Linked DNA regions of Neodiprion lecontei. The protein of the gene in region 1 interacts with the protein of each later gene in a biochemical or structural test. Links are inferred from orthologs where the notes say so. Each region holds a gene or a part of one and is shown on either strand. Other genes may lie near its edges.

Evidence for each region.
Region 2: the proteins of transcription elongation regulator 1 (region 1) and splicing factor 1 form a complex in vitro, tested with the Homo sapiens proteins (3 studies listed by BioGRID). The link is inferred for Neodiprion lecontei from reciprocal best matches to the Homo sapiens genes TCERG1 and SF1.

The regions. Positions count from the first base shown.
Region 1 is NC_060265.1:27,675,708-27,691,244, reverse strand, and holds the start of transcription elongation regulator 1, read right to left. Parts: upstream 7,499-15,537; 5' UTR 7,258-7,498; coding exon 7,103-7,257; intron 6,259-7,102; coding exon 6,000-6,258; intron 5,894-5,999; coding exon 5,813-5,893; intron 5,688-5,812; coding exon 5,484-5,687; intron 5,390-5,483; coding exon 5,158-5,389; intron 5,076-5,157; coding exon 4,869-5,075; intron 4,786-4,868; coding exon 4,582-4,785; intron 4,399-4,581; coding exon 4,170-4,398; intron 4,085-4,169; coding exon 3,849-4,084; intron 3,759-3,848; coding exon 3,601-3,758; intron 3,509-3,600; coding exon 3,300-3,508; intron 3,142-3,299; coding exon 2,991-3,141; intron 708-2,990; exon of another isoform or gene 1-707. Other genes in the region: KAT8 regulatory NSL complex subunit 3, read left to right, coding at 8,577-8,887, 9,089-9,674, 9,780-10,061, 10,148-10,843, 10,915-11,284, 11,419-11,616, 12,701-13,860; crossover junction endonuclease EME1, read right to left, coding at 15,234-15,350, 15,420-15,473. UniProt on the Homo sapiens protein: Transcription factor that binds RNA polymerase II and inhibits the elongation of transcripts from target promoters. Regulates transcription elongation in a TATA box-dependent manner.
Region 2 is NC_060260.1:2,606,743-2,625,355, forward strand, and holds splicing factor 1, read right to left. Parts: upstream 11,156-18,613; 5' UTR 11,014-11,155; coding exon 10,827-11,013; intron 10,638-10,826; coding exon 10,485-10,637; intron 9,687-10,484; coding exon 9,611-9,686; intron 7,302-9,610; coding exon 7,149-7,301; intron 7,001-7,148; coding exon 6,894-7,000; intron 6,796-6,893; coding exon 6,629-6,795; intron 6,539-6,628; coding exon 6,380-6,538; intron 6,303-6,379; coding exon 6,034-6,302; intron 5,948-6,033; coding exon 5,392-5,947; 3' UTR 3,984-5,391; downstream 1-3,983. Other genes in the region: sorting nexin-4, read right to left, coding at 1,064-1,114, 1,206-1,320, 1,412-1,544, 1,618-1,828, 1,899-2,036, 2,119-2,228, 2,373-2,478, 2,561-2,777 and 2 more; rootletin, read right to left, coding at 14,892-15,176, 15,252-15,641, 15,769-16,074, 16,168-16,380, 16,917-17,096, 17,173-17,280, 17,345-17,521, 17,608-17,726 and 3 more. UniProt on the Homo sapiens protein: Necessary for the ATP-dependent first step of spliceosome assembly. Binds to the intron branch point sequence (BPS) 5'-UACUAAC-3' of the pre-mRNA. May act as transcription repressor.

The DNA.
Region 1 (15,537 bases):
TTACAATAAACTTATAACTTTGATAAAATTCATAGAATGAGTTTCTATGACAACATTGAGCTGTAAGAATAGGGACGTAATTCAACATCAACGGAAGAATGGTTAAATTAGGTAAACCAAAATTTTATCTTCTATTTACGTCAAAAAAATGGAATTTCTATATTAATACTAGACATCTTTGTCTTCCGTCTGCTGATTTTAATTAATTACTAGATAAAATGTGACAAAGTGAAATTCGACGATGACAAAAAAACTGTTATGGATCATATTTTTACAGTATGCAAGGAAAATAAATGGTATATAACAGTGGCTAAACTTTCCATTTTTCACACTAATGAGAAATCGATTTCAATTTATAACAATTAATGAGGCCTGGACCAGATTACCGCTATTCCATTTGGAAAATTAGGTGTCTTAGATAAACTTGTTGTAAAATGTATAAAGCCGAGTCTATTCACTTTTCACGAGTATTTAATTCTATTAAACTTAGTGTTCCATATTCGGTGTGACTACTGTGCACGCAACTCAATTCAATACTAGATCTTCACTCCAGCAACAAAGTTTGAAACTACGTCATCAACCATACTGTAACACCATTGAAAGGATGAGAGGTGATTTTCATCTCAAAAAGTTGATATCGCCAGCATTATTTTGTTATTTCACGGGGAACGTCAAATTACAGATGAAACGCTGCTCAAATATGAAAATTAATACCTCATTCAAGTTTTCTGAATCATTGATAGATGAACCGCAGCATTACTTCTATCCGCGAAGTATGAATCCACAAGTAACCACACATTTCATTCCACACGTACTGGTTGGTTTACGAGCGCTCCTCTAAATCATATTCATCATATAACTAATAACGGTGATTTGGGGTATTCAGAGTATATATCTGAAAATATTGATCATCTCATCGCTCAGAGGGTGGAAGTGTGACAGATATCGAATAAAAATTTCAAACTCTAAATGTCGTGCAAAAATCTATCCAAATAATCGTGATTTGCTATGAGTTTGGTAAACTACAAAGAAAAGACAACAGTTTAGTTAATTCCCTGGAAGCCATCCGGTACAGGTAAAAAGTACGTTTTAACCATTCTTACGTAAATGCAAATTATCTTTATATGTACAAAAAGAAGTATTATATATTGAAAAAATTCCCAAATTTTCAAAAATAGTATGTTCATAGTTAATTCGTATGATAATTGTACCACGATAAAATGGATCATGTCTATCGTTCAATAACGTGATATAATTAAGGGAAATGAATTTTGCGCTACCTAAGGGATATTATTGATTTATAATTTTTTTACTTTTGAAATTCAATGGGAACTCATTACTATTTTCATCTGATACTTCCAAAGAATGATTTTGATTTGAGAGAAGTTAATCTGTATTTCTTTTTCTTTGTTTGTTTGTTTGTTTTTGTTCAAGTAACGAGGATTACGATTAATATACAAATACCGAGTTGTTTCATTCTCATGACTCTGCTTTGGAGTTAAGAATGCAGCGCGCGAGGGTGTGCCAACTGTGCCACGCAGTGTAGGTGGGGATGGTAGATGACATCATCCATGCCACCAACCAGCTTCAGAACCATGCCACTCCACATATGGAACCTGCCCTGCCTGCCTCCTGACTGAAGTGGAGAGTTCAGAACACATAAGTACATAAGGAACCGTCATATACCAACTATTTATTCTCTATCTCTCCCAACAATTTATGATTGTTTATATATATGGAAAGATTTTTCATCAAACAGATTGGATTAGAGAGTAGAGAGTTTACTTCTCATTTCTTCCTATGTGTGTTCTTCGTTCGTTAATAATAACTATATCACTGTTGTTATTATTGCCCTTAGGAATTAATATTAAAAATCATTCAATTGGAACAAAATAATAACATACCTACGGAACCTGAAAAAATTGTTTGTTATCACTGAAAGTACAAAAAGTATATTAATTTTGTAGACAATGTTCATACAACAAGTTACTGCCCACTGATTGATACGACATTATTTGTAACGAATCATTCAATATTTTATCATTCTAACTTCCACCAATTACTCCCTCGCAAAATTCATACTAATAAACACATCAGGGTTCCTCCAAATGTTTAGATTTCATTAAATTAGGCATGGGCAGTGACTTCAAGTCTTTCACCAACCATTCTTATGTCAACATCTCATTCTGTCGATTGCAATCTACCAAAAAATTATCCGAGTCTCACATGATACGACAAACCTTTGTATTCTGCATGCAGGAAACTGTAACGCTGTTAAATGTATGCTGTTTGAATAGATAGTAAAAATGCTTGAACATCATTTTTCATGGTGTAGCTTCCAGTATCTCACAGTCATTGGAGTTATGCAATGCCAATTTTTACTTAATATAATTGGAAAAGGAATTTTAGCAAGCTTTCCAACATTGGCAAATACTTTTAAAATCACAACAATTGAAGTCGTATTTTTTCACTGTTGGACGCAAAAGATAGAAGAAAAAACAAAGACGTGGTGAATTGTTATTTGACCTGAGGATTATTTAAAATCAGATTTCATGGCAGTAAGTTATTGTATAACATGTTAGGCTCACATACTTGCTGAAAAAAATGCGAAGGTTGCTAAAACGTAGTAAAGATTATTATATATGTTATTGTTAATCGAGCTTAATCAGTTGGCAGTCTTACACTAAGTTTCTGGTCTTCAAATTGAAACGAGAAAGATTTAGTATCACAAACTTTGAGTTACTTGAGAATCAAGAACAAGAAGCCAAACTCGAAAATGTTCGAAATATTCTCAGTTTGCCTAATTAAATTCTAAAAAACAAGATATTTTATATGAAACTGTGAATGCGTGATCTAATGATGATTCGATTGTTTGATTTTCTAGAATTTTGCCAAAACGTTGATTACTTTCTTTCAAAGTAAAACCTGTAAAAAAATTGGCCTTTCAATCGGCAGTATTATGTTATGCTGAATAATTCCAACTGGCATACCTGTTCTCGTTTAGCCGTTTTCTCCTCCTTCTCCCGCTTTCGCACTTCCAGTAGATATTCGTTGAACAGACTCTCGCGCTCGCGCATCTTCTCCACATTTTTAAAACGGTCGTCTTTGCCATGTTTTTGAGCAAAATCACTGAACGATGATCTGTTTTCACATAAAATATAAAAAGTTAAATTTAAACTGTGACACAAAATGCCAGATACAATGCCAGATTTTTGGGATCATGATGATAGAATGAAGGTGTTGAGATGATACAGAATACCATATCTCATCATAAAATATACAGTAAGTCAGTAACCTACTTTCCATGAAGTGTAGCTTCTTCGAGAAGCTTCTGAAATTGTTCCTTCCTTTCCTTCATTTTATTTCGCTTCTCTCGTCTTTCCTCCTCAGCTCGCTCCTTTACATATTTTTCAAAGACTTGCTTCCTCTCCTTCGATGTCAACAACAAATAGCGAGGGTCGAATACTATTTTATGTAACTCTTTCTCCCACGTACTGAATGCTGATACCTGAATCCAAATAGGGTCGAATAAAATATATAAGTATCGTCAACAATTGAAAGTTAACTGATTGTCACAGAACAACGGCAAATTCTACTTACATCTTTTTCTGCTAGCATATCTTTGAATGATTTGATTCTTGTATCCAAAGGAACAATGGCTCTCTCTCTAGCAGCCCTCACTTCTGCTTCAATCGCAGCCTCCTTACCTATGTCAATAGTTTTCTTTCCTTCCTTTTCCTCCTCCTCCTTAGGGATGACTGAGAACGACATTAATGTAAAACAAACAGCAGGTATATAATGTTGATAACTTTGCCATCTACATATGCTGAGGCAAATTGATTAAATACCTTTAACAACTTCTTCTTGTTTTGGTTTTTTAGCTGGTGTTGGCTGTTCCTCGTCACTGCTTTCGCAAGAATCTGATTGGTGTGGATTTTTGGGTGTAGCAACAGCATCTGGTGGAGTGGCAATCAGTTTCTCAACGTCTGCCCGTCCAACTAGATCCTCGGGCCTTTCCCACACTGATATTCGGGAAGAGGGATTATAGAAAAATACGCGACCGTCTCCAGTCCACACAACGCACCTAATTATGGAAAACATAGCAAATATTAAATAACAAATAGGAAAGTTTATTTTTAATATATACAGCTGAACAAGACAATTATTACCATGGTGTTCCAGGAACGGGAGTGCTAGAAATCGGCCTTGATTTATCTTGTGGTTTAGTTGATTCTTTGGGAACAACTTCATCTTTCTTTTGTTTGTTATTTTCAGTTTCCTTGAAATTTTCTTTGGTCTCTGGGCTACTCTCTTCTTGTTTCTCAAGTTTGATCGGCACGTCTTGAGTTCCAGCAGGTACTATGTCATCTGCTTTTTGTCGTATGGCAAGTTTTGCATCTGAAAATTCGATAAGAAAAGGTTTGTAGCATATTAGTAATAGTCGGTATCAAAATGTGACCTGTTACTCCAAGAAACAGACAATATGAAGGAATCACAAATTGATGAAAATCTTTGGATATAATTTATAAACTCGTGCAGTGATTCTCCCGATTTTCTAGTCCTGAGTATTGATATACGTACTTTCAAAATCTTTCATTGGCTGGGGCTTTTCCCAAACTGATTCGCCTGCTTTTGTATTATAATAGTACATCCGGCCATCAGGTGCACGATGTTCAGTCCAAACTAATGCTAACGCCACTAACTCCGGGTCTATCTGTGCCAATATGGCGGGATCTTCAACACCAGTCTGAGGAGTCATAACTCCATGTGGCATTTGTGGCATACCTGAATAAAAAGGGACATTCGTTCGCTGAAAATGAATGTGCTCATAACACAATTTAAATTTCGCGCCAAGAAAAATTATTTACCCCAATTTGTTTGAGGTGGTCCATAATTTCCAAACGCCTGGAAGCCTGGCGGAGGCATGCCAAAAGGTGCTGCTCCAAACGGAGTGGGTATAGGACCTCCAAACTGATTGGTGGGCATTCTGTGTTGCATTGGCAGCATATTTGGTGGTGGTTGCATCATGTTTGCTGTGCCATTAGTCGCCAGTGCACTAACAGCCGATGGTGATGCTGCAAAGTTTTATATTTTACGTTACTTCATAAATCCGGTATATGAAACAATGTGAGATAACGTATTATATATAATTTTAACCATTTGTCTGACTTATTTCCGGCTGTACACTTGTGTCGGTTGGTTCACTGGCTGGTGCGGTAGTTGCAGAAGAAGGTGTTGAGGTAGCAGCTTGACTCTGAGCTTCTGAGCTGCCAGTTACTTGTTCGCCAGACTGTGTTACTCGTGTTTCAGCCGGTTGAGACTGTATTGTACCTGTTGGCGTTGTCGATCCAGTACCTTGTTTAGCAGCGCCATGTACCAGTTGCTCTAACTAATATATTACATAAGAATTTTACCAGGTTAGGAGGTGAAAGTATGTGAAACTAATAAGGAAATACGGAATACCGCAAATTCTGAATGCCCACCTGATCTTGCGCCATAACTTTAACATTTGGTCCCTCAGGCTTGGTCCAGGTAGTCTCTCTTGTTCTTATATTATAAAAATATGACTTTCCGTCCCCAGTTTTCGTCTCAACCCATACCTCACCATTAAGGTCTAATCCTGGAATGTTTGTTTGCGATTGATGTATCTGCTGTTGAGTCTGCTGACCGGCGACTTGTGCTCCCTGCTTTAAACAGATTATCATTTATCAGTAAGTAGTTTACTCTTACATAAGATATTCATGCCACAAGTGAGAATATCAAACTTCATTCAGCTGATAATCCTCATTTTATCGATTAATTACAGACGTACATTCATGCTTGGTGGTCCCATTCCAGGCGGTGGACCATACGGGCCAGCACCAAGAGGTCCGTTCATCATGTGCGGAGGGGGCTGAAAAATGACACAAACGAAAATTAGTATAATCTTTAACGATTTCACAAATGCATTGACCATCCAAGAGTTGAGATCATTCTCAGAATTCGAATAAACAGGCTACCATTCCAGGTGGTCCCATCATGTTGGGAGGCCCCATCAAATTAGGGGGTCCCATAGGGCCCCAGCTTGGATCGAATGGTGGTGGGCCACGAAAACGTGGTCCTCCAGGGCCTGGTGGACAATTGGGACGTGGTGGACCTTCGAATGGGAACCCATTGTTTCCTCCTCTGAACATTGGCCCACGTGGGCCAAATCCTCGTCCTCTAAATCTAGGGGGCCCACCTCTCATTGGAAAGTCAAATGCTCCCCGACCCCGACCCCTAAAATAAAACCATAAAAAAAGGTGATTACCTATGCACTTGGAATCACTTATTACAGATCATCTATCAACGTCATCAATATGAATATCAGAATATTGAGTACGTACTTAAAAGCTCAAAGTTTTGAGAAAATGTACATTCAAAATTTTAAGTCAATTTTAAATATGAGTGAATTGTGCTGGAAATTGTAAACAATAGTAAGAAAGTATCAGACAAAATAATCAGTCCCACTCTTGACAAGATTGGAAACAAGTCCAAAACTGTTACAAGATTGCGAATTAAATATTATAGAGAATTGGTGCGACCGAGAATTAGAAAGAAACGGAAGCAAATCATTTTTCAAATTCGCAGTTCTACATTTATCAGAACTTCTCAAATGCCAGCTCTATAAGATAAATATATTGTCTGGATATTTCAAATGAAAATCATGAGAATCAAATAACTTCTGACCGATTTGTGGTTGGAATTTACAAAGATAAAAATTTTATTTTTGCTAGCATGTATCAATCTGTTTGCCAGACTATTTAGATTTTTTGGTGATAACTTGTGTGGGAATATAAGTCTTTTGAAACATGTTTTCCCTTTGAATTGACCAAGTGTAACAGAATAACATCCATATTAATCATTTTCAGTTGAAAAAAAAAATTGTTTCCATGGCTACATGTGTGTGTACAGATAACACATGACGTCCTCGTTATTATTATGATTATTGCTGTAATTTTTCTGGAGTGAATATTGCTTTCGAAATCTTTCTTCGAACTTCAATAAATCTTTGCGAGGAAGTTAATCGAGGTGGTCGGGAAATTGGCGAGTAGTTTAAACTTTCCACTCAGTATTTTATTACCTAAAACCTCCTCGGCCTCGCGGAATAAAAGGCCTGTAGTCGTCACCATCGAAATTGTACTCCTCTGTTTCCTCTGTAGGTTCTTCGGTGGCTTCCTGCTCTGTATTAGCGGCAGGCTCCATAGTTGGAGCGGGTTGTTCACTGCTTACTTCCATAGTGTGTTAATTTATCGTGAAAAATTATGGTAACTGCTTTATAAACTATTTACGCCCATTAAGCAAATCTTTTCTTTCTTTTGCCGTTGTGTCGAAGCACGAAACGCCGCAAACAAATCACTATTCCAGCGCGAGGCGCAAGCGGCAAGCAGTAAACACGTAATTACCAACCCAAGAAAGAAATTACCCTTGATTAAGGCGCTACCATTTTCCTTCTTTACCGATTGAAAATTGGAAACCCTTATTGCAATCGTTTCCAATTATCACTAAATCAGTAAATGAAATTGATTCAACTTTTCACACAAAATGTTCTTCGAAAATTTTATCAGCGAGGTATATGGTGAAATAGTTATAAATAATTTCTATTCTGCTGAAGTATTCGTGCCATCCTCGTCCGTGACGCGTTTCGTGCAGAACTATAGCGACTTGTATAGAATGGCTAATTATTTTAACATTTCACCAATGATTATACTCACGAAACTAACTACAGCTTTTTAGATCAAAATGTTCAGTATATTAAAGAATGCGCGTAAGCATTCGTCCACGCAAAAATAACTACGCAAAAATGTTTCCATTTACCGACGCTTGGCAATCCGAGTAGTCTTTGGCTAGGGGATATTATAGCAGCGAAAAAATATGACCAGGGTTTCCCCTTCCAGTCGCCCCTTTGCTGATTGCCGAAACGTACGAAATATCGTCAATGTGCGCAGATGCTGACATCATGGTGTGCTGACATGTTCCGAAAAGAAAAACTAGCAGTCAGCAGCTCCTGAGAAACACGGACGCGTTGCGCAATTCGTGTATTGTGTTGTGTATTTGATATATATAACTCAGATTATTCCTAATACAGTTTCGACCATGAAAAAATTGCGATTGTGGCTATTAGTCAATCTGTGAAATACGCGAGTGGAGTAAAAATACTTCTATTCTATCCTATGCGTGTTAACAATCGCATCGTCTACGAAGTGACTGTTGCCTCCACCAACGCACAATAATTTACGCACGAGTTCAAAAACTATTTTTTCATTCACAACTTTTTAACCACGTTGAAAACAATTATCACCCATGTAAATAGCTAAGGTTAAATATCATCCTCCTAATGTGTGTTCACGAAAACATGGAAAGAACGCTGCAATTCATCCTATAACAATTTTAGTCTACGATGAGTTTTGGAGTTGTTTGAAAAAATCTAGTGCACGGTATGTTGCATTATTAAATGGTGTCCTGAATATTACTACTATCCTTTCGATAATGCTTTGTATAACATTGTCATTTGATATTGCAGGATGCTGTTCGCTTAAAAGTTGAAGTTTATTGAGATGACAGATGTTTTGAGGTCAGCTACTGGACGAGATAGTATAATGAAAATGTTGCTGTCGACGTGTCCCGTTGTTTCCACTTCATCAACAGTAGGCTCAGGACTACCTAGTCCAACTGGTGACACGTTTGATGATAACCCAAATACATTAACCACATATTTACATCAGCTCGCTGGATGTTTCGAGAGTGAAATCAACGTTATCGTCAAGGATCACTGCTATGCTCGCCCTTGGAACTGGAAACCGGAAAATGTATATGTCAAGCCAGTCAAGAAACTGTTCTTCAGCAAGCCGAGAAGTTTGTTAGTCACGTGAGTATAAGATGATAGTGCACGGCGTGTTTTCCTATTTCATTTGTGTTAATTTTTTAATAACCTAACTGAAGGAGAGCTACGAGAATGATAAAATCTCGGATAATTTTTATTTCTTTATTCCCGCTCTCAGAATTTTCTTTTCTATTTTTTTTATAATTGAAATTTGTTTGTTTTGTTGTTCTGGATTTAAAAAAATAGGGATAAACTAAAACAGGATGAAGAGGTCAACGTTGAAGGAGATATGACGGAGTCTGTCACGCCGCCGTACGATTTAGCCAGAACTCGTCATGTGATGGACGAGTTTCAGAGACTTGCTAATTTTGCTCGACCTGACGAAAATGATGATTGGGAAGAAAAGATAGAAAAAATCCTTTGGACTCCGATTCAAAATCGTATTTTTACCAAAGTTATGCGCATATTATCATCAGAACGGTTAGCTAGATTGGTAAAAGCGAATAGTTTAATGGAACCAATTTTTCGAAGAACTTCCGTTGACACAGCTGCACGAAGATTCAGAGAAACACTCGCATCTGCTGGGTGGGATTTTCGAGTAGCTCAATGGCTGCATAATTTACTCTTCGAAAATCTACCCCAGGAATATATGGCTATTTACCTGGATATTCTTCAAACGTTGAGATTAAAAATTCCACAATTAATAGATAAAATAATAGCCATACAACCAAACTTAAATGCTAAAAGTGGGTCAATAACCTGGGAAACCCTCGGACCATTGCTAAAAAGATCATGGGATCCAATCGCATCAACACTGAATGCAAGCAGGCCAGTAAGTTAAACCTTTGATACCACAATAGAATTAATGATGCAAGTTTCGGAGTAGATTATTTGCAAAAGTAGATCACTACTTTAATACTTGTCATATTGTTTCCAGAAAAAGTTACCTGGCAATCCAATCCTTGTCATAGCACCCTCTGGAGTCGGAACCAGTGTTTCTTCACGACAACACAAATGGATTGCGCATTTGGGAGCATTGGGTATGGTTGTCAATGTGCATACACACATGGGATTAGCGGCAAATAGAATGACGATGATGGCGTGCATGGAGCAACTAGTACAAGCTACCAGAACCAAAATACAAGACGTTCGTAGTGATTATCCAGGGCGCCCAATAATCCTTGTTGGATTTAACACAGGAGCTGCTCTCGCTTGCCAAGTGAGACTTAATTATTTACCACTTTGTAAAACATTTCACTGTATATATTTCATGGCGACTAAGAATCTATTTTAACTGTTTCTTAGGTAGCTCAAATGGAACATGTAACGGCAGTGATTTGCTTGGGCTTTCCATTCACGACTGTAGAAGGAAAACGGGGGACCCCTGATGACACTTTGATGGATATTAGATGCCCTGTTATGTTTGTAATTGGTCAAAATGCGACACTTGTGAGACCCGATGACTTGGAAGATCTGAGGGAAAAAATGCTTGTCGAAACAAGCCTAGTTGTTATAGGAACAGCGGATGATCACCTGAGAATATCTACGGCAAAGAAAATATCTGAGGGTATAACACAGAGCATAGTCGACAGATGTATACTTGACGAAGTTGGTGATTTTGTTGGCAGTATTCTGCTGCAACCTCATCCTCTGCCTCTGCGATCTAATCCCTTGATAAACTCTGACAAATCTATGAAAAAGGAGTCTAGAAAGAGGAAAAATTCTACTAGCAGTTCAGTAGAGAGCGAACCACACTCTCCGAGTTCGAAAAAAACTAGACCTATGACACCCATCACGCCTAATGCTGTCTCTGGTACACCGCAAAAGTCTTCAGCAGGATCTCTGGTGCGATCGGGAACTATAAATACGCAGCCAACCCTTTTAGCAATCAGCGGAGCAAATTTAAATCATGCCTCGGCATCTAAACGAAAACCTAGAGTCATCAGTAATCAGAAAGTGACTTTGCCTGACCAGCTATTATCACCAAGACTATCGGGGCAGGTAAGGAAATTTTGTTTAGCAACATTATGCTTTGATGCAGCATTGGATTGACTATACAAATTGTTATACAGTTGAATGCAAGTAATGCAGGCGCGGGGATAACGTTGAACATTGGTACCTTGGCCAGTTTAGCACCCATCGGACCATTGCGTATGGCAACAACCTCAGCCGGTCAAACTTTTCCGACTACAACCAAGATGAGCAATGTATGCAGGCCGTCAAACGTGTATTCTAAAATGCCTAAAATGATGGCCACAAATACCAGTCCTCAAAGTAGTTCAAAACTGAAAACAGTTATGACAACAAGTAAAAACTTCTCTAAAACTGTAACGAGCAGTTATAAGCACATCAATATTACGGACAAAGGTGGCGAAGCTAAATTGGTAAACGTTCTAACTACGGCTGGAAATCAAGTTAGGGTCAGTGCGTCTACTGCTGCAGGTAATATTTGATTTACTAATTATGATTTTTTGGTATCAACCTATTTGTGAATATAATATCAATTAGAAACATTAATTGCACATACAATAAATTTGATAATTTCTCAGAATCGTGTATGTATCTGTTTTCTATAGCGATGCAGGTAAAATCTGTAACTAATGCAAGTGGAGCTCTTTCCGCGCTACTGCAGAGCAGAAGAAGTCCAATGGGAATAGTCAGTGGTATGCCAATGGGAAAAGGTACCTCTGCATCAAGCATTTTGTTGACGCCCAGTGTTTCAACTCCAAATACACACACGATTGTATCATCCTCATCAACAACTACACCAAAAGGTAGAATTCTATTATCTAGCCATATTACGAATAAGTAAATGAAATTTTATATATTTTCACAACGACCGGCGTTGTTTTGTATTGAAGATTTTAGTCAAGTATTACGTCTATATGTTGACCTCAGTTTTCAAATAACAAAGAATCTCTATTCGCACAACGATAAGACGCAATTATGGTATTGAATGTAAGGATCATTAGCTTAGGACAGGTTTTTTTTTTTTAATACATTTTATTTGTATGTAACATGATATCATACAATAACTGTATGAATATATGTAATATAGTCGTTGCTAGGAACAGTCATTTGTAGATAATGAATGCTTCAAATTAAATCTGGTCTTCAATGCCTAAAGTTTGATTGCGAAGGATGCACTGCAAAATGCTATGCATCCAAGACGAGAACATTGTTGTTCAATCGAATTTTGTCAGAAGAAATATTTTATCATGTGTAAATACACCAACATTGCCTTATATTTTATGTTCAATAAACAATTTCATGTAACTCGGTTTTCTTTTAATTCCTATCCCTCACCTTGGTAAAAATTAATCTATTAAGAGGTTGAAATGAACGGTTTATTCCATATTAATTCGTTCTAATGACTTTAAATTCTTAAGATATGCATGTATATATATGTATAAAGATATTTCTTCTTTCTTGTAATTTAATGTTGAAATCGTAACAATTTACAAGAATAGGAACCTTATACCATTCATTTTAATGTATAAAATTTACGTTTTGAGAAGTTTTGAGTCTGATCAAAATTACAACGAAGTTTAAAAGCAGCATCATTGCCGGTTTTTACATACAGCGAAAATAAAAAAAACAATTTAACTTGAGAAATCATAGGTCATTAACTGGTCTCTCTTTATCGAAATTGAAAACTTAACGTGCTGTTTATAGTGCTAAGATGAATGTGAACAGGTTTTTCATAACAATATACTTTTGCTTACACAGATACATGTTTAGATATTTGATGTACATCTTATGTATGCAGGGTTATCAATTGCACTGTAACTTGGTACATATTTTAACATTTTTCCCGTTTCTCTCGTAATATCTGAGAACGGTATCTCTATTTTATAGAGCCGGAGAACAACGGAGCAAGCAGCAGTACGAATCGAACTATATCTACCTCAAATCAACCGTTGGATGTGTCTAAGATGCAGTCTCTACCCGCTTCCCAAACCAGTTCATCGAATACAAACTATCCTCTTGCAGTATCATCGGAGAATGTAGTGATGTTAGCAGATAGTTTGAACAATTCGAGAACAGCTTCGATGTTAGTACCAATGTCTGGTCAAAATACAATAACCATTTTACCCCTGTCAAGCAAAATGATGATGAGCCAAAGGTCTATGAAAACAGTGCCAAAGATAACAGTGAACAATTGTAATCTCCAAAGAGTACAGAAAGTCAACAAACCACAATCGCCAACGCGAAAAAAAATTAATGATGACTTTGACGACGATTTGGGTAACATACTGGACATTCCAATAATATTTGCTAAAGACGGCGAAAATTTAAACGCCATTGAAAAAGCTCCGCCAATCTCTCAAGTGCCAGTTATGATGGATCCTTACGACAAAAATATTCCAAAACTAAGTGGGACCACGAAGGTTGTATTGATCAGTAATAAGCATGATAAAATACAACATCCCATCACAAGTTTAGCCAATACACCAATGCAAGCTCTTGTTCGAGCGACTGGACCGCTGCATCATGTTAATCGTGCAGTTCTGACATCCCGCTTGCAAAATCAATCTATAACAAGCACTAATCGCATCGGTACACCGACACAAACAATACCACGATTGAATCACCCAACGATTAAGTATACTAAGATTATTTTAGCCAAGAGAAATTCTGTTCCTAGTAATATTCACGACGATAAGAATGAACAAGTTGTTTTAACTAAAAATACTTCAAAGATGGTTAGTTATGAAAAAAATGAACATAGATACGCTCAGATGCTTCCGAGGCATCAAATTAAATTTCAAGAAATCATTCAAGATGATGCATTGGAAATTGAGGATGCTATCAAGACAAATATTATTGAGCGAAAAATTCCAACTGTATCAGAAATTGACTTGACATCACCATCGAAAAACGGTCACGACACTGAATCACTTAATCATGCGGATTCAAATACAGAAATAGATATTGTAAAGACCAAGGTTTTCCTTTCGGATACAAACGCATCTTCTGAAATTATTGAAAAACAAAACGAAAATGTAAAAGGATAAATAACTAGTTAATGTAACCTCAAGTTTTGCGATGAACATTACATTAGATCTGTATGTCTATGTAGATGTCAAATTGTACATTCAACTGTCAATTTATCTCTACGATACAATTTTTACGTTTATAAATGATGATTTTATATTTTTACTGCTAAAAGTTTGAAATTAGCAAACCAAAGCCATTATCTGAAATTTAATATACTTGTTATATCAATATAATAGAAGAAGAATTGATACTATTATTCATAAAAGTAATTTATGTTAATTTGAAAGAAAAAGTAGCCATGAGGAAATAATGGTTTTAGTCAGTTTACTGTAAATGTATGTCATAAATAGATCACACGGCTGCTGGATTCAATAGTAGATTGGTGCAGTCGCGTGTGGGAATATATTTCAAGTTTACCTGAATTGGTTCTTGAAATAAAATGAAAATCGTTCTACAACGCATAGTAACAATAAGGACTTTCAATTTTTAAAGAAAATCCTTAAGTTCACTTTTAGTTTACAAACTTTATTCTGTTTCAATACTAATATTTTGGAATCTGAATGCATTTCAATACTTCTAAAATATCAGAAAACGTAAAAATGCAATAATCGAGTTGAAAGAATTGCTATTTATTTGTTCATTTAAAATAAATGTAAGGCTGTTATGATTAACTATTATTTTTCAATGTTGCTAAAAAGCTATTGACTATCATATTTAATTATGAAATATCTTTTGTCCTCGCCATTAGAAACACTAATGACAAAACTGACTTCATTGATTATTACATGCCTTAATAGATACGAGCCCTGACGCTATTTATTCTTTTGTAAAAATGTAGCAAATAGATCTTTCTGAGTAATGAAAAAATTCTCATATAAACACCAAAACTACGTATTGTTAATATTAGTTAATAATAATCAATGATCTTGCTTTAATAACAATATTAAAGGTTGATGTAACAATTCAGAAGAAGACTGTGAAAGAGTTAAATTGCTCCTCTAGTTCTCAATATATACTATATTCATATACGTATTCAAACTATAAATTGTTGGCTCGTTACTTGAGTATGTGATCGTCTTTCTTTGACCATATAATTAATACAAACATAGTAGTAAATTAGAACATTAACTTGATTAGTACATGTCAAATCTTTACTGGCTACCGCAAAAACTCTCCCTTATATTAAATCCTGCCGCTTATTCTGATCTGGTAAAAATATAACGCTATCAACTTGTACTTTCAGAACTGAAGATTAAGGAGTAAGGACATTCTTTCATTATGGTAACGTATGCTTTGTGTATAAAACTCTGTCTTAAAACAGAATAGTAGGTACGATATTTACAAGGCACTAGTGTCTAACAAAAAAAACTGTTTATCGCTGCAGGTCTACTTAGTCATTGCCCAGAAGAATATTGCCATCCTCTGACGTGAACATGAGGTACAATTTCTTGCTCAATTCAGGTCCTATCCGTCGGACATTTGTAATAGGTCCTGCAGTTCTTCTGATCTGTTTTAAGTAAGCTTAAGTTATTAAAATTATATAGTATAAAATATATGTTTATTTGAGAAAACTTACAGGAATATCTTGAAGCAGTTTCATACCTTCCGAAAGTGTGCAATGAGCATAAGCCTGTAACATGAGTAAGACAATTGATAAAATGTGTTTCTTGGAAACATTTGGAAGTACGAATAAA
Region 2 (18,613 bases), on another chromosome or scaffold:
AAGCCTCGCGTTACGATTGTTACGATTTAAGGTTTAGAAAATTTTCTATTGTTAATAAAAATCTGAATAATTCTATTCCCCGATATTCGTTACAGACTGAGGATAAATTATTGGTGAATTTTTGAATTAAAATAATTATTCTTGCGTGTTGAGAGGATAAATTTTGTTTTCAAAGTTTATAAAATGTAAATTGGGAATTTAGAGTTTGTGTGAAGCAAAAAAAAAAAACTTGATTAGAGAAATACTCTAGGTCAACGGATTAAGCTTATATCAAAGCTCGGTCGACTAGGTAGAAGTTTGAAAATGATTGTGCAAAAATTTCACCTCATCCTACGTCGTTTGAACTTTCACACTTGCGGTAGAAAGCGGCGCGAAATAATCTCAGGCAAAACTCCATCCGAAACTTTTGCCTCGATCATACTTAAGTCGATAAGTATTGTTGGAAAATCGCATGACTTCCATTTTAATCGTAACAAATCTCCGGCAAGATGTTATTTAAATATTTTCGCGGGTCGTGCGAACACGTCATAACCGGAAGTTTAGCATGATTGATCGTTAACAAAAAGTTATACTGTGGTTCAGTATTTTATGAAGGAACGAAAACTCGTTGAATAATTTGATTTAAGCGTAGGAACGTTGTACGTACATATGCGAAGTTTATTAAATTTTTAAAGCAAATTTTGCGTCAAATTACGCAGACGCTTTTACTTAAACTTTGCCGAACAATGGAATATATATATACACGTATATATCTATATTCATAAATATATATATGTTTTTTGTTTTAAATATATAGATGTAGGTACATATAAATACTAAACGGTGCTGCTCGTCTTTCAGGTATTTATACACAACGCGTATACGCTGTGCTCAGTATGTATTATGCACAAACTAATATCTATTAAATAAGAATATTTAAATAACCTTAGAACATCAAACGTCTGGAGAGCTTATAAATGCAGGAATGTAGATGTACATCGGGTGACATGGAACGATTAAGGTTGTTTTGTGATGTTGCACTTGATAAAGAGATATTGTACTTGCAGGATGTGCTTTGAATAGCTTAAGGAATACTCTCAAGGCAATCTTTGATATGTTGCCAAGTTTGAAGACCCTGAAAATATCAAATGTTAGTTTATTTCCATTTTATTTCGAACAAGACTGCAATGCCAAAAACAACAGAACCAAAGTACAGCTTTTATTACCTTTCTAGCTAACTTAAACTGTAGAACACAATATGCAGCGAGAGTCTCCTTCAAATCTAGTACTTTCTGGTGCTGGAATCTTTCTATATCCACCATTGCTTTGATGGAGAAAGATCTGGAAATAAAGTGTCGACCGTTATCAACGTCCCAACCGATAACATTGCAGCCATCAAGATATTAATGAAAGTCAAAAGAGCTTAACTCACTCCAAGTCTTCGTTCGCCTGTTTCACAGCTGTTTCACTTTGATTAATTCTCTGCTCCAGCTGGTGAACCTTCAGCTCACGCACCTCTTCTGTATCCACAGACCCGAACAGACGGGATATGAGCCCAGTTTTACCTGTAAACGATGTAACAATGCGTGTAATAAATTGTTGAGAATTAGATGTTTATTCTTAGAGATTTTCGTATACCTTGCTGCAATTTATCCTTATGCTCACAAGTCGCGGTGAGAGAATCGTAGGTCTCATCGCTAACCAGTTGCAAAGCTTCTCTTCGTCTGACGACTGCCTGTAGTGCAGAAGCCCCAAATAACCACTCCTTCAATTGGTCTGCGATGAGCTCCTCCTCCTCTAGAGCTGTGTCAATACTTGCGGCTATCGAGTCTAAGTAATGTCCAGATTTCTGTAAAAATCATTCAGGATAAGGTATTAAATACCGATGAAGTGAGGAGAAGCGAGGATAAATAAAGTACCTGCAGACCATCGCCCATTTCTTTCTCTATAGCACTCCACTCGCTGAACACACGTCCATAATTAGCGTGTAATTTGTACAGTCCATATTGCTTTTCGACCAGACGTGCTCGAACTCTAAGTAGGTTGCATAAATTGCTCTGAAATGATGAATGGTGGATAAATTCGGGACATGATCGCGGAAAGGTTGAATAAACAATGAATCTTTCTGTACCCCCTTACCTGTAATTCAATTCCGTAGTTTTTTATTGTTTCAAATCGTTTATCAGGTTTTTTCAGTCTCACAGCTACGCTAAGAGCTTTTAGCTTGGATTCTGCTAGATGCAGATAGCCTAGAAGAAAGAAAGAACCGTATCACACTATGCAAGGCTCGAAAAATTCGTGCTGTAATTATGTATCCTGAATAAAATTGACCTGAAAAACTCAGCTGCTATCTTTATCAGTGGCACAAAAGTTTCAGCCAACTTTATACCTACCAGTTTCCTTGATACTCTCTCGCCAATCGTTTTCCTGCTGCAGGAAACCCATGAAGTGTTCGTCGTGTGATAACACTGGATGTGAAGCAACACGCAACAGGAAATTCTGTAGGCAATAAGCAGCGGGAAATATAGTATATATTTAAATAATTTATTAAGCAAACATAATCTACAGTCTACATCCTTACCTCAAGTCCAGCTCTACGGCGATCGACAAAGTCAGGATCGAACGTATCGGAAGCTACCTTTTGCCATCCATAAAGTACCTTCTTCTCAGGCAGCGCAGGTAACACTATGTAAGGATAAGATACCTCCAGGTAAGCCCGTAACAATTCAAATTCGGTGTAGCGTCTCCATAACGAACTAAGTTGTGTCAGAGCGCCTTTGAAGTCTGGATCGGTTACTCTGAAACACACACGATGTATCATTAGTGGGGTAAAATCTCAGGCTGAAATCAATATACTTGTTTAGAATAACAAGACCCACTCACTTGGTTTCCACCAAATAAACCGTGTAAAATTCTCTGAGATTTAAAGCTCCGTTGGCACGCTTTTCTGCCTCCACTATCACGATTTCCATATGATCAAGAAGACAATCCTGAAATGGCGAATTAGAGTAATATTATTTATCGATGATCTAATGCTCATAAAGTTTTTTAGCAATTGTTATTGAATCGGGATCTAAAGGAAGAATGTTAAAACTCTTTGATATTGAAATTTTTCAGTTACTCCCACGTTATTTACTGAAAATATTTTATTTACTTTATTGCAAAACTCGTGTTCAAATCAGAGTTGAGTAAAATTGATTGGAGAGATGGGTCACTGGGTCAACATAACAGGAGGAGGACTTTGCTGATTATCGTAGAAAGTCAACAGGCGAAGTATACATGATAATATTGTTTGTACACATGTCAGGGTGCGACTAGAGTATTTGAATTATCTTCTGCCGTTAGAATTATCGCGTTACCTATTTTTGATTCTCCCTCTCTTAAATATGTAGATCAGATCGAACTGTAATCATATGTAGGAATAATGTTTAGAAATTACAAGTAGACACTGTACCTAGGACGCGTCTCTCAATCTTCTTTCACCCCGTGATATTATACTAAAAATCATCGATGCGTATTTACCTCTTTCCGTATTATTTCCTCTGATGTAGTCATGTTGGCTGTTGTTGTTATTGTTGAGATGTTATTTCCTAGTCTATCGTCGTAATTCCCGTTTTGAAATATTTCCTCCATCGTTCCTCCGTGCAGACGGATATCGACTTCGAGTTAATATTAATTCGCGATTGTCTGTCCATCAACTCTTCGCACTACGCCAAAGTCACCTGATCACATCACGACCTATTTATTTCATCTTTGGCTAGCTAATTGCTAAAGCTGCTGAACTGACGTCGATGCAAAGCGTCGCATCGGAGGTTTCTACCCGTCTGAACCGAGCGGTGAAACAAACGCGCGTGCGCCGAAAGTCGGCGTGATGAATTTGGGCCAAGTCGCTACAGTTTGTCCATTCGTTATCAGTTTAGTCGCTCGGGTCGTCCAATACGTCCCAGAAAGCCAATACATCATATGGAAGAGAAATACTCATTCAAAAACATCATACGTGTCGATGATTAGTAGAATGTATCAAGATTCAAAACCAATGTTTTCAGCATGATATAATTAAGAATTTCAAATTACCCAAGAACCCTTGCGCAGGGTGCGCAAGAGTGGGGAGCAGTCGCAAGGTGGGGAGGCTACGTGTATAAGTCCTATGTGTTGCCCCTGCCAAGTCACCGATTAGAGTGAGAGAAAATGCCTGCAGCTGTCGTTCTTTGTTTTGTCACAGCTTCAACACTGTGCGCAAAGCGCGCAGTCTTCTCTATGGCAATACATAGGATGGACAAGTAGTACGCCCAAATTCCATACGACTGGTTTAATTATGCGACTATGCTGGTCCCATTCGTCAGAATTATACCTTTATTATTGATAATTTTATTTTTCAGTAATATTTGACATATGCAGTACAATACACTGAAAATAACCCAAATGACATTTCATTCCACGTAAAAGTTTTGTTAAATTAGGAAGATTTATAGTGAATAAAATAATTAGAAATCTGCGCAGGTTGATGAATATAGTTACTTATTAACTATTATATACGCATGCGCTAATTAAAGAAGTGATTATGTTTTACTTAGTAAATTAATCTTTTGTTAAATTTCTTGTTTCTTTTTCTTGCATCATTTTTTGATTCTGTATCGTGCTTTGTATGTATATACTTATATATACTGTTTAAGTATATGATAATTTATACTATTGCTGTTGTGAAATCCACAAACAAAAATTATATTTATAATATAGAAAATTGTTCCAAATTTTCGAACGTCATTCGAGGCTTTTCACATTGTAGACAAAAACCCCGTGCAAAATTTTTTCTAAACAGCCAACAGATGTTGACGTACAGTATATAAAAACACTCACATGCTTGACTGTTTGTCTTTGGATCTATTCAGGAGAAATAATGTTACAAAACATCGTTCCTATCAGGTGAGGTTCGAATCAATTTTCAAGTGGTTCTGTTGTACACAGACGGATGATCGTTCAAAGTGATGAAAAAAAACATTTGTCAATTAATCAGATTGTACCTAACAAATCTAAATAACTAACATTGAATAATTAAATTTTAAGGGACGCTTACTACTGGAAAAAACAAGATAACGTTTTTCACACAATAAAAATGATAAATTTCATCGGCTGATTTGTGTTATTTAGTGTCTACTCCATGATATCTCGTAAATTGTGATACACATTCTGAAAATACGTGTTTCAAAAGTAAGATCACCCACGTGAAACAACGTAAGAAAACGAAGAAAAGACGAATCTCAGCCACATCTCGATCGGCATGGACACCCAACCGACGTTATCGAAACCTTAATTTCTCACACTTAACGAAGTAGCAAACTTAACTTACCCTTTTGGCTGTTACACCTAAGTGGTAATTCAAAATTAAATTTCGTGGTTCGACTCAGTTTTGCACTAACTGGTTGGCGGAGGTGGCGGCGGCGGTTGCGCCAACAATGTCGGTAAGCTGTTCAAATCGATACCCGGCGGTGCAGGTGCCGGTTGCTGAGGTGGCGGAGGTACAGGGGCTGCTGGCGGCCATCCGCTCAGGGTTTGCTGCTGCCATCCCGGATATCCAGGAGGTGGAGCTGTTCCAGGAGGCGGAGGACGCATCGGACTTTGTTGCCCTTGTTGCCACGGTGGCATTCCTCCCATTCCCGGGGGCATTTGGCTTGGTGGCATTTGGCCGGGCGGTGGAGGCTGGTTGTTTGCAGTCATCCACGGCATCAACGGTGGAATATTGGGTTGCGTGGTTGAGCCGGGGGGCGGAGGTGGCGGCTGCATCACACCTGGAGGCGGAGGCATGCTGACCGGAGGTTGCCACTGCATATTCATACCATTCATGCTGTTCACATCGTTCTGGGTCCAGGGAGGCGGCGCCATGCCTGGTGGAGGCATCATTGGACCGCCTTGCATCATCTGCGGCGGTGGATGTGCCGGAGCTGCCATCAAAGCACGAGGCGCTTGTTGTCTGAAAGAAGTATCAATTTTTATAGCTAATATTGTGAAGAATATCAGTAACATAATTCTGGTCAAGTCAGGGAGTCGACGACTTACCTATCGAATAGACCCGGATAATTTGTGTTTTGGGAGCGTTGATGTCCCTTGGATCGATCTGGGGGTGGACCCTCGCCGAGCTCAGCCATTAGTGACATGTATTCCTCGTCAATCTTTGCTTTATCGCCACCTGGGGTGATTCCAGTCATTCCAGCAGCTGCTGGACCACCTTGACCAGGTCGTTTTGATCGACAATCTCGCGCTATATGTCCCGCGCCTCCGCAACTCGAGCATACGATGTTATTGGTAACATTGGGTTTGTCAGGACACTGGAAATAAGTTGCGAGATAATAAAGATTAGAGCTTCTGCAGCGGACCAGAAGACGAAAAGTGGTGATATACTTACCAGCCAAGATTTGTGGTCGCTTGCGCCACAGTTCGTACATCGAGGTCCGTCATTCTCTCGAAGTGTTCCATTCAGCAATGCTAATTCGCGTAATTGATTGCGACGTAAATCGTTCTGGCCCTCAGGTACTTCAACTCCTTGTCTAATTATTTCATGAATCTAACAACAACGATACACTTGTGTATTTTTCTGGAGTATAGATTAAATATTGGGATGGTTTCGTTTGGTTTTCATTAGAGGCATACACACCCTTTCAACTGCTTTCTTCACAGCATCAAGATTGTTCGCAGTAATGTACGCATGCAACGGTTCGTCCTCTCCTGGCAAAGGCTGACCATCTTTTCTACCAACTTTACCTTCTTTTACTGAACCCTTTCCACGAATAATAATCTTGGCGCCGGTTTCTTTTTCCATTGCTGTAAAAGGATGGAATAGGAAAAAAAATTCAGCTACTCTGTACCAAATAAATTCAGTGCAGTCATGACACAAGTTTAGCATAAACAAAATTACGTACATTTCAAAGTATTCCCACGTGGTCCAATAAGCAAACCGACAAAGTTTATGTCCGGATGCTCCTCTTGTGGAATCATAACTTTATCATGTACACGGATTATTGGTGGCCTGTAATGAATAAAGTTAGACTATAAATTACAATCATTTTTAATTCCATCAGGATGTATAAGTAATTGAGTTTTCAAATTATAGTATTTTGATGATACGCAGTTTCAATCAAACGGTGAATTGATTACAGGATTTTTTTAAATCTCACTTGTAATCTGGTGGCGGTTTGAACTCAGGATTAATTTTCAGTATCTTCTGAATAAGATTGTGCCTTTCCTCCTCCAATTTTCGTCGAGTTCGATATTCGCGGGTGTTCAAGCGCTTACCATCGCTACTGTAAATCGGCTCCGGAGATGGGGACCTGAAAAAAAAAGTAATCATAGATCAGTGCCTCGGACATAGGGAGATGGTACTAGCGTACAAGCGACCTGACTTTCTAATCTCACTCTACCTCAAACTTGATTCTCACTTTTATGGTTTTTAATTATAGAAAGCTAGTTGTAAGGAATTTTCTCTGAATGCATGAAAAAACTTCAACTTCACATAGCGAAGAGCTGATAACAATTCTATGTTTTCACTTCATCATTTTGAACGCAGTTATTTTTTGTTTATACGTTACGTAGGCTTTACAGGCCTGTTCTATACGGTGTATGCTCTCATTTCGCTGACTAATGTCCAAAAATTTCTTTGTAGTTCCCTTTGTACCTATTTACACACAGTTTGCTTCAAAATAAATTTTCCACATAGATGATATTTGGCAGTCACACAACTCTTATTGCATTTCTTAAGAAAATGACTTGCACAAAAAGAAAAACAACTTCAAGTCTAGATATTGTACTTTTGTTTCTGTGGCGTTGTTAGTATATCGTAAAACAATGCAGTAAAAGACTAAATGATAGGCGAAACTTTGAGAAATTATTTCTATGGGTTGGGCATCATTCATATTATATACCAGTTTATGACGTAGCAGCGTATTATAGTATTTCACATGATTAGTTTGCCCCACAAATGCAGAAGACAGAGGAAGACAGAAGAAAATAATGAGAAAGAATTGATAATTAAAGGACCCACGATAACCGATTGTAAGAATACATATGGTCTTTGAAACACGCTGCCAATGTATTGAAATATTAATGCAATTGACCGTAAACACAATGGCTTAGCTATTGTGCGTATATCGATTATATCATATTGTAGTGAACCGCTGGTAGACTGCACGATTGTGCACGGCAGATATGGATATGATGTCAGCTGCTAAGATAAATCCTGTGATTATTAGGAAATAATAATTTTTGTTTAATTAGTCATATATCACAAAGCTGTATGCATGTACGCTTCTTGCATACTTTCAAACAGTATACAAACACTAAAACGATAATACAATAATATACAAGAATGCGTCCAGCTAAAATTGAATTAGTAAAACCTATTGGAATAAATCAAAGAGATTAAGAAATTACTGTGAAGATTAATTCAAGTTGTGTTCCTGAAAGTAACGTTAGATCGATGGGTAAAGTAAAAACGATTATATTATTAACATTTACGCTTTCATTGTTTTCTTTTTCCTGTAATCTGCCCATTAAATTTTTCATTAGTAGTAAAGATGTGCTGCTGTATGCTATCTGTACAACCTGGTTCTTAGCATTAAAGTCGTAATCATCATTAGTGGTTCATTCGGTTGCCGTGCAAATCACGGCAGTCTAGTTACCGCACGAAATAATGACAAAGGTGGCCAATGAATATTCATTAGACACAGAATAACGGGACATTTACAATTCTACAAATTCGGCTCAATGCATTCAAGTCAAGTTTCATTATGCAAATCAACCTGAGAAGCACGACGAGTGAATAGTACTCGCCTTGCCAATACCATACTTTTAGCCAGGTATTTTGTAGTCACAAATGTTGACTCTTGATAGGGAATTGTTTTACTTTAGACTTTTCTAATTCTACATGAACGGTGTGCACTCAAATATCCAAATCTAATACGAAATTCATTGGTAAACTCATCGCCTAAGGACTACCAAGGATAGCCACTCAAGGGCGTTGATTTGAAGCCTACTTTGATCCAATTATAAGCTATGTGAGATTTCTTTCTGTAAATATTTCTGCGCTTGAGCTGCGTTAGGTCTTTGCCTGCCTGTCTTTAGCAGTCTGAAGCAATGGTAAACGCAACTTGTGCATTCAGCCACCCGACTCATCCCGCAACCGTAACCTGTTGCTATAGTAGGTACTGGGTAAGGTTAAATACTAGACGAAAAAGGTGCCAGGAATGCCCCTTAGGTATTAAATACTGCTACGCAATCGATGGAAAAGAGAATCCACCTCAAGCGATAACATTGAAAAAAATTGCATCATTCTAAAAGTTTGAGGCATAAATTTCCTTGCCGTTAAGTATCCTAGAAGAGTGTAGCAGTATTCAATTAAAATGAAATAGTAAGATAAATTGATTAGAGCAAACCAATATTATCATAATTCATCTTCGGTGAACATCAGAGCTCGAGGTTCCAAGCCCCCAGCTCTCAGTTGGCCGTCAGGGGTCCGACTAATTTATGTAGAGCCATTTTAAAAACCTTTTAACAACCATGAGTTAGCGGCTGCTCAGTGACGGCAGTCGATACTGTAGGTATTGTAATGGTCATTTTTTTGGTACGTAAGATTCGTTCAAACCTTTCTTCGGGGTTTGGCGGTATTCCAAGGTCGCCAGTACGGAGTTTCCTGCTGATTTCCTCAATCTGCAGCTGAACTGTAAACCAACGGGTTAGAGGGGGCGGAAACCCCAACAGTTAGACAATGCCAATTTGTCAAAAGGGTATACATTGCTAATGTATAGCAATATATGTACATATGTTCTTTTCATAAATCGTACGATATCAGCCTGAGAATCAAAACCTTGAGTGGAATTGGTTAATAGCATGAGTTATAAGTCTATAAGATTAAATCTATCAAAAAGTATCACCAAGTTCAATCCTGACTCATCGCACATTGTTCACATTATTCCATCACAACGGCTTTCTCTCAAAAGTAGGTTTACCCACGGGATTGAGATTATATGCAATCTAGGTCAACGGTATTCGTTGTTAACATACAGCTCCGAAAAAATCGGATACAAAAAAAAAAAAAAAAAAATCGTAAAAAGGTTCTCTTCAAAGTTTTGATCGTCCCAAACGTTGAACGATGTATATTTTTATTTTCCTTATTGATTGTTTTTTTTTTTCTTTCTTGAATCAAATAATTAATAATAAAACTGCTTACCTTCACCACTAAATAACTTTTATCTTATACAGTTTAACAATTTTTCCAACTTTTTTTTTTCCCAAAAATAAATTTATCATACTTACATCGTAACGGTCATCTAATGTGAAGCAAAAAAAATAATAAATAAATAAATAATAATTGAGATAAACAAACAAATGAACAAGTGCTTTTCGAGCTCCAAAATTTTTCCTCGCATAAATAATACAGTACCACCTAAATGTATCCTAGAGGCTATGAGCTTATAGGAGTTACGACTGATAAGACATGGCAAGAAAACACAACTTACAGAGGTAAGCCTGCTCCTGTTCTGGGGTAAGATTAGTCGGGAGAACCGTCGGCATCCCTGGAATGAATGTCTTGTCGTGTTCGCTACCTCCCCATCTGGTCTTCCTTCGCTTACGCCGTTCCTCTCTGGACTCCTTGTCTGATTTTCCATCGCCTGAGTTTAAGAAGGATAAAAAAAAAAGGGAAATATAAGTGTTAGTGGGTAGCTCTCTTGGGTAATTGAAAATACGTGCAGTCAGTGAAATGTAACTCCCAGGTTTTCATCATCGAATCGAAATGTAACCTGTGCGCGAACTTAGTGGCTAATTCAAATCGAACGAGGCTCCTGAATTTCACTACTTACTTTCAGCTTCCCGCTTTCTACTCTGGGACGAACTGCTGGAGCTTAACGAAGTCCCGTTGGCGATAGCCGCAGACACAGCAGCAGCTGCAGCGGCTGCTGCGGCGGCCGCGTTTGCCGCAGCGGCATTTTGCGCATTTTGTAAATAACTTGGATTCAACAGGGACGTGAAATTCCGAGACTGATTCATCGCTGACTGACTCCCTTCACGGGCAGGCGCACGATTATTACACCTATTATTAAACTCTGGCACCGCGTTGCTGACGATGTTACACTGTAACGGAGTTAGCAACAGAAAAAAATTCGATACACTTCAAAGATGGCGATCCCATCTACGACTGCATCCACGCATGCGCTCTTTCCAATGTTGCCAGACCTACCGAATATACGCGCGTCCTTCAGAGGCTGCGTTTGATGCGGCTGTGAAAAGAGCGCGTCTTTTCAAATTCGATTATACATCCGACAAAGGTCAATCTAAATTCCGATAATGTTTTGTACAGTTTGAAAAACCGTGTGCTGTTACCTTGAAGAAGAATCGAATTGCAACTCGAACTACTCATCTGATTACCGAAAGAAATGATCGATTTCTATAAAATTCGCAGCGAATTTTTATGCGCATTCAACGAAGCTGTATGAGTCGGATTGCGGTTGGTCGGGTGACAAGTGCGATATTGTAAGGTGAAAATTTTACTACAAATTTACAAGTACAGCATCAGAGACGATATCAAAGGAGATATCTTATCTGTAGAAAAATTTATTGAACAATAGTGTACTAATGACAACTTCGATTCCTAGGAGGACATGATTCATTACAGACGTACGCAAAAGTGGATGAGACAAACGGCACAGCTTGTCATTCCAGCAATGAGAATTTAGCGTTGGAACATCCTTGGCGATGGCATCCGATTTCAATTGCGATAAATGAATTGCAGGTCTTCTGCGATGTGGACGAGCGCATTTACCCGACGATTGTGTGATTGCGCGTGCGGGTTTTTCTGGTTTGTTGAGGCTATTCCATTTCCAACCAGTTATCTTGGCGAGTTTTTTTATCGAGCAATTCGGCATCCGTCTATACATCTTCCATAAAAATGACGAGTTTGATTTCGCTGATTTTGCAGTGTTCCGGACCATCTGCTTTGCTTTGACACCTTTACCGCGAGCGATGCGACTCATTTCAAATTTTTATAATAAGCCTCACATTACTTTTTGTTAAATTCGGTTAAAATGTCATGTACTCACGTTGGTGATCATGTGTCACATCTCTGTCAAACACTTGTTTTATAAAACAACGAAAAATTACAGCCGAAATTAGACAACTCTGTCGATTGACTCGTAATTCTGCGATGCAACGTTGCCTCAGCGTTCGCATCGCGACGCGAGTTTTAACGGCATCGACGTTATGCGGCGCAGACGCGGAGGCGAGTAATCAAAGATCGTGGCTCTCATGCGGTGAAAGTAAGCCAAACCACCGGATATTTCCCGGTTAATCCAAGTCCGGCGAACACCGGGAGTTCCAGAGAACCAACATAAATCGTAAGTGCACGGAGCTTGCGCAGAAGAATTGCGGGGATTTCGCGGGGACTCCGCGAAATTTCAGCGCTAGCTCTGCGCATTTGCAAGATCCAACGGAGTCTCAGGGACTCTATAGGAAAAAAAAGCCCTGGTGTAAGATACAAACATCAGATGCTTCCGCACTCAGTTCCAGTATTGTCTGTGTCCGATATCCGAATATTTCCTTCCTTTTGTTGCAGTATCATTTGCAAACGTTGTAAGTCTCCCTCCAGCGACATGCGTTGAAGCTCTAGCTTCGTCAAGCGGGATTCGTTTCTTCCCAATTCATCTTGGAGGCCCTGTTTTTTATATTCCAACTTCGCTAGTGCTTATCGCATTTTTTCAAGTTTCTCCTATCGCAGATAAAGGTTGTTACGTGCCAGTAACGATTAAGATAATAGATAAAGTTGATCTGGGGCTTTTCTCACCTCGTACTGACTCTTTCCTTCAGACGCGCTACTGATGGTTAATTCGGGTGGTCATTTTTTCCCGGATTTGTTCGTTCTCCTCAGTTCTTTGCACGGCGGTTAACGTTTGACTCTTAATCAAACAGATAATTATATTAACAACAACGATCATCAAGCCATTCGTAAAATAAGACATATTTTTGTAGTATGAAAATATAGAGAGTTTCGGGTTGTGAGTTAAACTTTTATTATCTACTCATGCAATGTTCAATATGAAGTGAAAATTATAAATGTCGTTCGAATCTCATGAAAATGAGTGAAACTTATATTTATATACGTCGAGTCAAATTATCATTCACCGATGTAAGTTGTATGGAATTGATATATTATTATACTATGTATTGTATGTATAGTACATGATGCCGTATATGATATTTTGGTATATAAAGTTGTACAAGGACATGAAACGTAGACTTATTTAAACCAAACGTGTGAATTCTTCATGTTCCGATACAGTCGAATGGTATAGTTTTAAGTCTGAGTAGATGATATGGCTGGACTGGATGTCAATATTCTCAATATTAAAGAACTGACACAATCCATTCTCTGCCATCTACATCTTCTGGCTACATATACTCATAATAAGTTACAATTTTGATCTATCGGTAATCTATGCCAATTATATAATCAGTGAATCTGATTCAAGCAAACTCATAATGATTGAATTGAAAACTTGTAAAAGCCTATGCATGTTATTTGTTTATGCTCTCCTCAGATGATAAAGTTTGGTCTCGGGACGAGACTAAACATAGCATTTCCTTATTGTATGCACATTCTGTGTTGCAAGAGCCTCTTCCACTGTATCGATCATGAACGAGGCAATATTATAATACACTTAAAAAATAACTTTGAATATTGTCATAAGATAGCCTGTTCATTATTCCGTAACATATGTATCATGTATAGATTTATATTGTTCAGAGATCAGAGAGCAAAGATAGATAGAGAGACTCTTTAAAATGATTATTTCGAAAACTATTTGCTATTAACTTAGAAACGGTTGTTCGCAATTTCTTAACTATAATATATATTAATATTGTATATATATATATATATATGTAATGTGTATGTTGTGTAAATAATATGAACGATACGTATACCGCTAGATAATTAATCGAAAAAATAATACTGGAGGCATAACAAAACGAGTTATAAAATGAATCTAACAATAAATAATTGAAGTTCGTGAATTATACTGATACGAATAAATAATATCAATATATATTTATAAATATATATATGAAGAACATATTTGTAACGTTGTAAAATTTGAAATATACTCAACAATTTTTCCTAATTTTTCTTGCAATCAACTCAAAATAAGATCTTCAAATTTCAAGGCTATAATTTTTTTCCAGTTCAGTCAAATTGTATCAGATTTATGTGAAAAGAATCAATTAATTCTGAATTCGAACAACGAGGTCAATCAAATATTCTGGTCTCTTTCGTACGACATAATGCGTAATTTTCGGTGATAATATTATTATTGATCTTCACAGAGTCAATATGCTGGAAGCAAAATATATAATAAAACAAGCGATAAAAAAAAAATCAATTCTGTAAATGTATAATATAATATAAGTGTATACCCATGTATATAACGTACACATAACGAAATTTTAGGCGTGATTTACGAAGAATAGAGAACATCGACTGACGCACAGTTACACAACAAAACACAAATAAATCAATGTAGTTATATAATTTGTATCAATAATAAAGAAACTTGAATGATCATCTACGTAATAATATATCTACATCTGTCCCTTCCGGTTCAGATCGACTAACTTTCTTCGGTCCGCAATGCCTACCGAGCATCGAGAGAGAACAACTTCTAAATGTATCCTCAACTATCATAGAATGCCTCATAGCAGTTCCCAAAACGAAGAATACACGTACCGCTATACAATATGATTAAATATTGTGCAATGCCCTCTCGATCAACGCATTTCGGCAAAGGCACCGAATTTTCATTACACATTGATTGAACAAATGTTATCATTTTTCCTTCCTTCTTCTCGGATTCATCCTCTATTGATTAGTTTCAGGTTTATTTCAGCCGCGTCGGCGTCGGAGATCTTCTGTCGTACGAAGAGGACGGAGGCAAGGCCAAAGAAGGCGGCAAACTCGCGGTGCTGGAAAGAGTCGAGTCCAATTTCCTGGCTTCGTGTTCCAGGAGTACCGCGTCCAAGGATGGATCCTGCGACACCGTCCTCAAGGAATCCCCCAGAGCTTGTCGAAGCTGCTGCATTTCTCGCCCTGCGCGAGAACTTCGCAGCACGTAAAGTTGACGGCGTTTGATTTCTTGATTCAGTTGTTCTCTCAGCAATTGAATCTGGACGCGTCAAAAGCCGAACGATAAGAGATAAATGTTTACTAAAAAATCCGAATACCGTTACACAAAAAATACCTGATTTTCAAGTCGCAACACTTGTTGACGGTGGCTTTGCTCTCTGGCCTCTAGCAATTTTTCCGCCTGCAACTGAGCTGCTCGCAATCTTTCGATCTCTCCGCTTCTATCCCTGCTTAGATCTGACGTCGAATGCGAATGGGAGTGCGAATGTGACGTTCGCAACCGAATAAGCTCCGCTTCCTTTTCCGCGAGATTCGTCTCCAATCTGCGAATCCTCAATCTCAGATCTCTGTTCTCTTGTTCCAGATTTTCCACGCTTATGTTAGAACCCATCAACTCCATCTGAGCCTTTTCGGGACGTTCGTAACTCTTGCTACGGATATTGCTCGATCGAGATGATGAAAGCTGTCGTTCCATGTTCCGTTTGTCTGCTTCAAGAGCTTTTACCTGTGAAAATACAACATCGAACAGAAATGTATCTTTTCTAACTCATATCTGATATTCACATTCTATCATTCCATCACGTCTCTGTAACGAACGAACCGATTGAATCCGAAAAGAAAGAGCGACTTACTTTATCGTTCAAAGCATCGACCTTTCCTTTAAGTTCACTTCTTTCTCGTTGTGCACTGTGGAGTTGCCTTACGAGTTCTTCGTCTTTGTTTGATGAGCCTTCCGGAGGCCAGCTGGCCAATCTTAGTTGAGATTCCAGGCCGGATCGTTGTACTTCGTTATTGGCCAATTCGTTCTGAAGCCTGGTTGTCTGGTCGGCTAAAGTTTGATTTGTGCGTCTGAGCTCAGCCATTGCTTGCTGCGTGGAGTCCAGTCTCTCTGATAATATGCGGCGCTCGTTCTCGCTGTTGGATAGTTGTTTCTGCAGCTGGTTTTAATTGGGAGGAATGCAATGAGTGTACACATGAACTCTTCCATCTACGACCATCTAAAAGCAATATACTTATAGCTGTATCTCAACCTGTTTCAGTTTTTCGTTCTGGCTTTGAGACGACGCGTTACTTTCCATGAGACTTCGTTGCAGGGCGTTTATCTCATTCCTGAATTCACTTTCTCCGGACGACGCTCGCTCCAAAGCTAAGTTCAGTTGTTCAATCGTTGTTTTCAACGAAGCGCACCTTTCTTCTAGGCTAGCCGTCGTTCGGCTTTGCGTTTCAACTCTGTCTTGCAATTTCTAGAAAAAATTTCAACGGTAGCTTGCACGACAGGAGCGAAGAACAAGATCCACGATGTACGTCAACAGCTACCAAGCAAGTTCTAGTCTCCCGCGAATTGAAATTCGAAATGCGCGCCTTTTCGCATAGCAAGTTTTAGTAGCTTTGACGCTATGCGGCGCAGACGCGAAGGAGAGTAATCAATGATCGTGACTCTTTCGTAGTGAAACTAAGCCAATCAACTGAATATTCGCAGGCTAATCCGAGTACAGGGTACATGGGGAATCCCAGAGTTTCAGCAGAACCCTTGCCGATGCATCGAGCTGCGCGGAGGCGTCGCGAAGACCCCGTGGGAACGCTAACCGAAGCTCCGTTCAGATGTAGCGAAGCTTCGGTGGTAGTTCCACGTGGACCTCACGAAATCTCAGCGCTAGGTCTGCGCATTCGCAAGATCCAGCAGAGTCTCAGGGACTCTTTTTTTTTATAAAAACCTGGTGCAAGATTCAAATATAAATCATCCTCCACCCTCAGTTTTAGCACTGTCGATGTTCGATACCTGAATATTTCCTTCCTTTTCTTGCAGTATCATTTGCAGACGTTGCAAGTCTCCCTCCAGCGACATGCGTTGAAGCTCTAGCTTCGTCGAGCGGGATTCATTTCTTCCCAATTCATCTTGGAGGCCTCTTTTTTCATTTTCCAGCTTCGCTAGTGCTTGTCGCATTTTTTCAAGTTTTTCCTATCGCAGATAACAGTTGTTACGTGCCAGTAACGATTAAGGTAATAGGTTGAAGTTGATCTGGGGCCTTTCTCACCTCGTACTGACTCTTTCCTTCAGACTCGCTACTGATGGTTAATTCAAGGGTGGTCATTTTTTCCCGCATTTGTTCGTTCTCCTCAGTTCTTTGCTTTAAGGCTTCGGACTGGAATACATACAAATTACCAGCTGACCTTTATACGTATTTGCATACAAAATGAGGTGCATACCTGCGCTTGGAAGGCGGCCTGTCTCTGGGACAATTTTGCCTCAAGTGTACTTTTTTCATCCTGTAAAGATCGCAGGTTGCTCAGTAAATTGTTGAGCTTCGAATCAGCCTTTGACTGGTTCTCTTGTGCCTCTGTCAGCTGCTTCCTGATACTGTTGATTTCAATTCTGCAATCGTCCTGGAATCATCAAGAAAACGGGCACACGTCAAGGTGTAAATTAGCAGAAAACGTTGAACGAATGGACGATTGCAATTGGGCCCTACTCGCTCTCGTTCAATTTGAGCCACTTGCTGCATAAGAGATCGAACCCCCTTTCTCACAGCCTCCGGATCAACATCAAGTATGACGTCTCGTCCGCCGTCTCCGTGATCGGCGTGGCTTGCTGCAACATGTATCCAGCATTGAAGATGGAGAATCTTACTCAAGGGGATGACTTATGAACTACGTACCACGCGCGGGGCTCCATCTTCGCGAGGGGCTCATTAATTTGAAAGGCATATTGACGCTGCCGTCGAGTTGAATACCAGCAATACGACGAAGAGTCGATCCGACACTGCTCAGCTTTTGCTCAACTTCTTTCTTGGCTGTTTCTAGTTGGTTTAATTGAGCATCCAGAGCACGGACCCTTCCCTCGGAACCGCCAAGTCGGGCCTGGAAGTCAGAATCAAAGGATTTTTTTCTCGACGGGATATCAGAATAACGTTAGGCATACCTTGAGTTCCTGGAGTTGTTGCGAAGCATCAGCCAAACAGACTTCCAAGTTGTGCTTCTGATCCTCCAGTTTTCGTTCCCGACATCGACTGTCTTCCAGTCGGATCAGGAGCTCTTGTTCTCTAGCACGCCATCTCTCGTCTTCTTCGTCTCCTCGGGAACGAAGTCTTCCAAGTTCTTGGCGAGTCACTTCCAAGCTGTTGTCCAAGTCGATTGCCTATGGAGAAAATACAAAGAACCAAAAGTGACTTTACGAAATGCTTCACTACCGGTCGTCAGAAGCGAATAAGAAATTGAGCTGGACCTGTTTCTTCAGTTGATGCAGTTGCAGTTGGAGACGTTCCCTTTCTTCGGTCTCGTTAGCTAATCTCGCCTGCAACTCTCTCTCCTCGTTTTGTCCCTGAGCATTTGCAGCCTGGGATTTTTGCAGCTCGTCCTGAGTAGCTCGGAGTTGTTGTTGCAGCTGCATCGCATCTCGCTCCATGTCTCGGAGCTGAGACTGGAGTCGTGATCTTTCGTTGTCGATTGTAGTCCTAAGGTCTTCCAGACCTGCAAGAA